2 linked regions of the Cricetulus griseus genome follow. The protein of the gene in region 1 interacts with the protein of each later gene in a biochemical or structural test. Links are inferred from orthologs where the notes say so. Each region holds a gene or a part of one and is shown on either strand. Other genes may lie near its edges.

Evidence for each region.
Region 2: the proteins of Fen1 (region 1) and Hus1 form a complex in vitro, tested with the Homo sapiens proteins (2 studies listed by BioGRID). The link is inferred for Cricetulus griseus from reciprocal best matches to the Homo sapiens genes FEN1 and HUS1.

The regions. Positions count from the first base shown.
Region 1 is NC_048596.1:50,247,655-50,252,175, reverse strand, and holds the start of Fen1 (flap endonuclease 1), read right to left. Parts: upstream 2,921-4,521; 5' UTR 2,614-2,920; exon of another isoform or gene 2,603-2,613; intron 1-2,602. Other genes in the region: transmembrane protein 258, read left to right, coding at 3,173-3,175. UniProt on the Homo sapiens protein: Structure-specific nuclease with 5'-flap endonuclease and 5'-3' exonuclease activities involved in DNA replication and repair.
Region 2 is NW_023276807.1:96,060,749-96,065,214, reverse strand, and holds the start of Hus1 (checkpoint protein HUS1), read right to left. Parts: upstream 3,088-4,466; 5' UTR 3,009-3,087; coding exon 2,957-3,008; exon of another isoform or gene 2,907-2,956; intron 2,533-2,906; coding exon 2,405-2,532; intron 2,327-2,404; coding exon 2,150-2,326; intron 505-2,149; coding exon 394-504; intron 1-393. UniProt on the Homo sapiens protein: Component of the 9-1-1 cell-cycle checkpoint response complex that plays a major role in DNA repair. The 9-1-1 complex is recruited to DNA lesion upon damage by the RAD17-replication factor C (RFC) clamp loader complex.

The sequences.
Region 1 (4,521 bases):
GTTATGGCAAATGCCTTTGCTGGAAAGTGGGGTGGGGGTGTTGAGAGAGGGTTTCTTTGTGGACTGAGTTCTGTAAACCAGGCTGACCTTGAACTCAGAGATCTACCTGCCTCTACCTCCCACGTGCTGGGATTAAAGACGTGCACCTGGCTTTTAACAATTTTTTTGTTTTGAGACAAGATTTCTCTGTGTAACCGCCTTGGCTGCCCTAGAACACGCTCTGAAGACTGGGCTGGCCTCAAGTTTACAGAGATAAGTCTATCTGCCTCCCGAGGGCCAGGATTAAAGGTGTGCACCACTGCTGGGCAATGACGCATGCCTGTTTAATCCTAGCACTTGGAAGGCAGAGACAAGTGGATCTGAGTTCCAGGCCAGCCTAATCTATATAGCAAGCTCCAGGCCAGCGAGAGTTACAGTGAGACCATGTCTCAAAAAACAAACAAAAACTTAAGTTGGAAAGAGAATCCATTTTAAGCAAAAATAACTGCATGTGTCAGGCAGTGGTCTACAGGCCAATCTGGTCTACAAAGCCAGTTCCAAGACAGCCAGGAGTACACACAGAGAAATCCTGTGTGTGTGTGTGGGGGGGGGGAACCTGCATATATCAGTCATATTTTAATGTGTTAAATATAATAAAAAGGATTTTCTAATACATAATTTACTAGCATCATCTTGCTTGCCCAATGATAGTGTTTCCACACAAGAAAATCCTATCAGGCAGCCGGTGGTAGTGTACGCCTTTAATACCAACACTTGGGAGGCAGAGGCAGGCAGATTTCTGTGCATTCAAGGCCAGCCTGGTCTACAAAGTGAGTTCCAAGTCAGCCAGGACTGTTATAAAGAGAAACCCTGTCTTGAAAAAAAAAGAAAGGAAGGAAGGAAGGAAGGAAGGAAGGAAGGAAGGAAGGCAGGCAGGCAGGCAGGCAGGCAGGCAGGCAGGCAGGCAGGCAGGCAGGCAGGCAGGCAGGCAGGCAAGCAAGCAAGCAAGCGAGCTGGGCAGTGGTGGCGCATGCCTTTAATCCCAGCACTTGGGAGGCAGAGGCAGGTGGATCTCTGTGAGTTCGAGACAAGCCTGGTCTACAAGAGCTAGTTCCAGGACAGCCTCCAAAGCCACAGAGAAACCCTGCCTCAAAAAACAAAAACCAAAGAAAGAAGAAAGAAAACCCTATCCTAGGAGTTCTAATTGTTCCCAATCTTACTCCATGGTATCTTCTCTGAAGCCTATGTGACACTTATACTCCCCTTCCTGAGTCCCAACACCTCAGTAGGAACAGCATCAAAATCTACCTGTACAGTATGGGAGCCTAATTAAAAGTCCCACCTCCCTCTTTCGATCAGCCGTGTGTTCTTCCTGCCATCCTTCCTCTCTTCTTCCTGTCTGTATTATTGTGGTTCCCCTATGAATACAAGCAGCCAAGTCCAGCCTTAGGGCTGAGGATTATAGCTCACAGGTACAGCAGCTTTGCCTAGCAAGGCTGAAGTCCCCGGCTGAATCCCCAGCACCAGAAATCAAATAAAAAGCCCAGCTTCGAATCCAGCCACCACCCATGAAACCACTTGATGTGTCCTGTGCATAACAACAGGGACTGACCTAGGGCCTCACATATGCTAGCGCCAGCAAGCGCTCTACACTGAGCCACATCTTCAGCTCTGTGAAACACAATTAAGGCACTTACTCTGTGGTATGAGTTGTGAAAGAATCATTTCTGCCTTGCAAAACTGGCCAACACCAGGTGGAAAGCACACATCACCAGATGGTGTGCCAGTGTTGCCCACCCAGTGCTCTGGTTCATGTCTCACTGCTTTGCTAGAATGAGTACAAGACAGCACCCATCCTGTCACAGAGGATACACTGTTCTGTCTTGATGCCATCTCAGTCCCGCCTCCACAGGATGTCCCAGATAGCAAACCCTTACATGAAATGGCTGCATGGAGGATAAAACGCCTCCCTCAGCCAGAAATATCAGAAAGCACAGTGTCTCGGGAGGCTGCAGAGATGGCTCAGAGGTTAACTGGCTGTTCTTCCAGAGGACCGGGGTTCAATTCCCAGCACCCACATGGCAGCTCATACCTGTAACTCCAGTCCCGGGGCTTCTGACACCCTCACACAGACATACATGCAGGCAAAACACCAATGACCATAAAATTATTTTTTTAAAAAAATATCCTGGACCAAAAAAAAAATAAAATAAAAAAATAAAAAACAGCACAGAAGAGGAGGAGGAGGAAGAAGGAAGGAGAGGGGGGGAGGAAGGAAGAAAAAGAAAGAAAGAAAGAAAGAAAGAAAGAAAGAAAGAAAGAAAGAAAGAAAGAAAAGGACGCAAGCAGTGTCTCTTGATGTCAGCAGACCTTGGACCCATTTCCTAAGAGGTACAAAACCTCCTCACAAGGGCCCTCGGAGAAACAGGCTCTGCTCTCTCCGGGTGGACTGAGGTTCTGCTTCGGAATCCCCGAACTGCCAGCTAACAAACTCCCCTAGCAATACCCTGTTAGTCGTCTTCCTCTTGCAGTACCCCGCAGACCCGGGCAGGAAACGGACTGAACAAGTCGTTTCTAGTGTTTCTAAAATAAGGCCGTAGTCCTCGCGGGGAAAGGTTATTACCTACTTCCTACCGGTGAAGAGACGGAGGCTCCCAGCAGCGCGAATGGTCAAAGCCGGGGCCGCCTGGTGCTGCTCCCGCGGTAACTCGTCGCTCTCAGCACCGCTTCCGCGAGGCCTCACCCTCCCTCGGCAGCTAGCGGTGGTCCGGCATCCACGGAGTCCTCAGAACCGACTCGAGCGCGTTCTTCTGATGTAGAGCCGAAGTCGTTTCCAGCTTCGCCGCCTTCCAAAGCCCGCGCTCCGGTCACGTGACCCGCCCTCCGCGAACAGCCTCCTGGGAAATATAGTGCAGTCTCTGCCACTTCAGACCGCAGCTTTCATAGTGGACCTTATTTCCGGGGAAAACGGATTAAAACAGAGACTCTGCACTACCCCCTCTCACATTCCAACCCCATGTCACTCACATAGGTCTTCAGAGTCCCAGTTACCGTTACACCTGAAACCGCGGGACTACAAGTCCCACAATGCCACGCGCGAGGGACCACATCCTCTTCCTGTTGCTCAACGCGCTTGCTCTTGCCGACGTGTTCTTCCGGTGGTGGACCGGTGGTTTATCGTGTGCGGGGCAAAATGGTGAGATGGTGGGAGTTGCGGACAGGGCTGTGGGCCAGGACTCCTGGGTATCCGGTCCACACCGCGTTCTTCCGCGGAGTCGTCAGCATTCCGTGTCCCCAGGGTGGGTCGCTGCTGGAGCCCATGTTTAGCTGAGGAACGGGGAAAGCAAGCCCCTTGCCGAGAATTTCTCAGACTGAGGTTTCCATCACAATGGGCTTATGATATTGTTGATCATAAGGCTGAGGGGCGTGGGGTGCACGTTGAATACCTTCGCGCGTTTATTTCTCTTTCCTATGATCAGTTATCGCTATCTGGAAAGTTTCCCTTGCTGAATTCATCCCGCAAGGCCCTTGGATACATGTCATTACCTGGTGAAACACTTGCAACTCTCACAGGCACTTGTCTGTTTTCTGGGCTCTTACAGTCTCTGTACACCTCTTGCCACGTTTCGTGGACCTCTTTTTTATCTGCCACGCCTCCTAGTGACCACCATCTGACGTGCATCTAGTTCTGGGGTGATGTCTATTCTTCTTTGTATTCTTGTTGCCAAACACTGGGCCTGCAATTGGAGGCTCCATAAATGGCAGCAATTGTCTTTGGCTTTTATAGGGGGGAAAGGGGGACATAATTGTTTACTGAATTGAATTCCTGTGTCTCTTAGAACAATGGGTTCAGTTTACTTCTCTGGAGTTGTTATGTTCTGGACTTTAGAGGCATTGGCTGGCAAGTGACAATGGAAGTTAACATTTGTACAGAACTTTGCATTTATAGTCCTTTCACAGGCATTATCTCATAATCTTCTCTACAACCTTAGGAAGGAAACAAATACCTATTGAGCAGTTACTCCATGGCAGGCAGTCAACTAGATGTGTCAACATTTATCATCTTTCTCCAATCCTGCATCAGACCTGTGAAACCAATACTTGTTATAACTACGTAACTCAAACTCCAGTGATTCAGTAAAGCCAGAATTATCACAGTTGTCTTCTGCCAGGAGATCCCTGTGGTTCCCTCCTAAGAATGCTCTTGAATTAGAACTTGAGGTCTTCGTATTAGTCTAGGCTTCAGCTTCCTGCACAAATTAGTGGTTTAGAGTCTGGACACAGGTCCAAAAGCAATGGAAATTGTGGACAAGCTTTTTCTTTGTTTTTTCTCCAGACAGATCCATGATTGTCTTAGTGATCACTGGCTAGAAAATCCTAGGAGCCATTTATCTCTATCCCTTCCTATGCCTGAGCCTCTGACTCAGCTGCTCTTATCGTACCAAAAGAAAAGCTGCTGCCTCCATACTTTTTTGTTGTTTTTTTGTTTTGTTTTGTTTTGTTTTTTTCCCAGTGCTGGAGATCACACCCAAGACTTCATTC
Region 2 (4,466 bases), on another chromosome or scaffold:
CTCTGGTCACAGCTAACCTAAGCTTCAAGTCAACAAAAATGCATTTTCTGGCTCTTTCATCAAGGCCTCTGAAACATGAGTTTGTGCCTAAGGTCAAGAGTCATGGTAAATACAGACTGTCTTCCAAAGTATAGCTTAGGTTCACTGAGCAAGGCATTTGAACTCCTGCATGGAAAGTATGGCATTTCTAAATGGGTATGAGTTCTTTAACAGAATTCACATATATAGCAAAAGGCACATACTCATATCTGGAGTCCTGTTAATTGAATCACTTTCTTTTCAGAAACTACACAACTTCAAATACAGTACACTGCAAGATGACACTTAGCACTGTAGAATTCAATCCCTGCCCTTAATTGTGTGTTGAACAACAGGACTACAGACAACACTTACGTCAGAGTCTGGGACAGATGGTTCTTGTAAGTCCTTCCACAATCTTCTAGGAATGACCTTTATGGGAATATCATGTGTCACAATTCTACTACTGCTTGATGAGGACAACTGCTAAGAAAAAAAGTTATAATCATTTATGTTGTCAATGCTAAAAGCAAAACGTGAGAGCCAATTCTAAACCTTTCGAATTCCAAAAGGAATGTTCTTTATGTATTCTCTCAAATTCTATTCAACCGAAATTGTTGGTGTGGTGTATCTGTTCTGCTTTGGGTCCTGTGAGTCTCTGAGAAGTGTAGAGAATGAGACAAGAGGGCCTCAGTGGAACAAATGGAGCAACTAGAAAGCAAGTGCACGAAGCTGTACCAGATACTCCGTCAGAGCCTGAAGGAAGCGCATAATGAGGCTAAATGAAGGACAGCTGCCAGAGGGGAGTGAAGGTGATGCTTCAGAGGACATCAAAACTAGAGAGGCAGGCGGCCTCTGAGAAGCTGAAGAAGAGGAGACAGGATTTCAGGCAGAGGGACAGTATCAGTGTTCATAAACCCAGGAGACAGAAAGGGGCAAATCTGATGGGCCAAAGCAACCTAGACACCATTGTGTGTCACACGCTCAGCATGCTGCAGCTTCTGACGAACTAAAAGGATAGACCATGTTTATTTCTCAAAGCATCTCTAAAGCTCAGAAACCAAAGTATTGCCAGGTATAGTGGCACACACAGCACTCAAGAGGCAGAGGCAAGTAGATCTCTGTAAGTCTGAGGCCAGTCTGGTCTACATAGTCAATTCTACGACAATCACAGAGCTACATATTGAGACCCTGTTCCAAAAAACAACAACAAAAAAGAAACCAAAGTATTTTGCTTTCTTACTTAGAAAAATATTGTATGCTTTTCCTTAAGAAACTAGATAAACTTATAATTACATGGAATGCTCTAATTAGCTTTAAGAACACATAAAAAGTTATGAGGTCATGAATTAACTTCTATAGCTAGCTTGAAAACAAAAGCAATACTTACCCACAAGATGTGCAAAGCACATATAAGAAAGGAAAGTTGTAAAGAAAATGGAAGCCCAGTGGGGCAGAGCACTAAAGAAAGGAAAAGTTTTGGAGAGAAACTCCATGTAGATAGTCCAATTGATGTCACCAGTCTGGGGGTTGGGGAAAAAAAAGACACATTCAGAGAACAACTCAGAGGGGAGTAATTTATGATTTGCCTTCAAGATATGTGAAAGGCTATGAACATGTTAGGTCGCCAACATGAAACAACATTCTTAAACATGTTATTTAAGAATATTACAGATGATGAGACAGGAGGGGAAAATTTTAAGATGAAAATGGATAAAAACATCTAGACAAGGTGACAACACCCTGAAAGAGCTTCTAGCTAGCAGTTTGTTTGGAAAAAGAAGTATCCTGTTGAACATTGTGCAATCAAGACTTTGTTTAAAAATGACTAGGATAAGGTACATTTCTCATTGTAAGTCATGAGCCAGATCTTATATTTTATTTTGAGACAGTGTATCTATGTAGTCCTAGAAGTCATAGGCATAGAGATCTTCCTGTCTCTGCTTCCTGAGTGTTGGAATTAAAACATTTGCCACCAAGCTGGACTAGATCTTATATTTCAAATGAAACTAATTCCCTTCCAAGAATACTGTTTGAGAGCTCAGGCTTATAGCTACTTATACTTCCTAGACCTAAATATAAATAAGGCACCTGTAAAAGAAAGTTCAGAAATCCTTTTCCTTCTACTTACCAGTTCTACAGACACAGTAAGACAGGGAAAGTGTTTGTTAGTCAGCTTGATTTTCAAGGCTCTGGCGTTCTGGGCAGTCTTCAAGGCTCTGGATAAGTTTTCTGATGTTAATTCTAAATAAATCGCATTGTTTTCTGCAGAGACACCTTCCATTTGAAACTCACTAAAAATGTTCTCCTGCAGGACAGAGACGGGCATTTAGGGCCTTTCCAGCATTCCTGCAGGAGCCTGGGGCCTCTGGGCGTTCCTGCTCACCTGCTCCAGCTCACACCACATGCTCACCCCACCACTGGCCAGCTTGTCCGAAAGGATGAAGTTCAGCTTCTCCGGGCTGATGCGGAGGGTGCATGTTTTGGCAAGTTTGGCTATCATGTTACTGACTCCTGTAGCGAGGGTTGGTAAAGCAAGCAGTTACTAAGCTGCATATCCGGTATCCTACAGGTCATCTTACAGAGCTTCTAACTCATGAATCACGCTAGTACTACAATGCCGCTGACACCTAGCGAGGCACACAACCCACAGCACCAGTATTCAATAATGAAACAGTCTCAGAGAACGACTGACGATCGAGAACATTCCACATAAACGTGGGGGCATCTGGGTACTGCAGAACAGAACTGCCTGCGAGCAAGGTTAGGCACAGTGCCGGCTGAAGCAAGAGTGAGGGAGGACTGCAAAGGGAAAGGTCCCTTTCCCTTAGGGCCGCCCTCCCAGCCTACGGCCCCAGCTGTGCCCTCCACCCCTCCTGTCCTCTCACAGGGCTGCGGCCGCACTCTCCGCTCGCTCCCCGCGGCCCTGCCAGCTCACGTGTGAAGTGATTCAGACAAGCCAGGTCCACGATCTTGGCGCGAAACTTCATGGCTGCTTCCTGGCCCGTAGCGGTTTCAGTCGGAGGCGGACAATAGTCCCTCCCAGAGCGTCCCGACGGGGAAACGCGGGCGCGCGCACAGAGGTTCCGCTGAGTCGGTGCAGCAGGAGAGGTCCGCCTACCCAGGCCAAAGGCGGAGAGGGACCTCCATGCGCAGCCTTGGCGACCTGACTCACACCCCGGGTTCAGGGAAACGGCTCCCTTCAAGAAGTCACCTCCTGAAAAACACTTGGATACCTGGCAACGTAGTAGTTTTGAAAATTGTTTTAAAATGAACACACTAATTGGTAGAATACCTGAAGACCACGGATAATTCTGCTTCTTTGTATCAATATAAACTCATTAGAGCCTATAAAATTCTTGTTAGCCCTAGCTAATGAGGGTGCTTAGGCAAGAGGATCTCAGGTTGGAAACATGCCTGGGCATCTTACTGACATATGTCAACAAATATATTTTATAAAGAAAGAAAATGAAAGAAGGAAAGAAGTGGGAGGGAGGGAAAGGTAAGGAAAAAAGGATTTTTTAAATTCCTAAGAACAGGTGTATATAATGATGATTATATGTTCCTTATTGATAAATCTAAATCATATAAAATTTTTGCTTAGCAAATACATAAGCTATGACTATCTTTTCTTAGAAGAAAATGCCAATCCTATATACCCTTGCAATTAAGCTAAATAGATTTAGCAAACAAAGTCAATGATTTCAAAATTGATAATTAAATATACCAACATTTCCATATTTTCTTTCCAAATGATTTTCTTAAGAGAGTTCCAAAAGCCCTGTGTGCCAGAGCATTTTCTAATGCAATGCCTGCTTGTTATTTTCCATCTAGATAGTAAATGGATTTTTGATTTTATAAAGTTCAAACCTTCAAAAGCTCAGTCCTCCAGTCACACGAGGATCTGCAGAGCAATGTTGGTGCTATGTTTACTTATAGGAAGAAAACATCCCATCTGATCTTGTCTCAGAAAAGGAAATACATTACATATAAAATGTCACTCAGTATATACAGTTGAAGGTCAGGGAAGTGAATCTTTAGAGCTGCTATTTAGGTAAGCACCATTCTTTACTAACGGTTATCCAAAACTGGGATGGTTGTGTCTGTCACATGCCTGATCATCTTCACTAATCTCAGGGGGATAACAGACTCATTTATTTGCAGGCTTGTTAGCAGTTAGTGTTGGAAAAACTGCCCCAGGGGGAAAGAAAGTGACATTGCTCAGCAGTTCTACAGCAAATTTGGACGTCAGTATTTGTCTTATTGTTTACACAAGAAAACTGTGAGGTGGAAACTCATACTGGCATGAGCGAATGTCTGTTTGGGAAGCGTCCTCATCGAAGGACTGTGTTTCTGCTTCAGAAGTTGTTCAAGGGACTCCTCATCTTTTGAATGTCAAATAAGAACACTTCAGTAAAGCCCATGGGTTTTAAAGTTTTTGTTAGTGC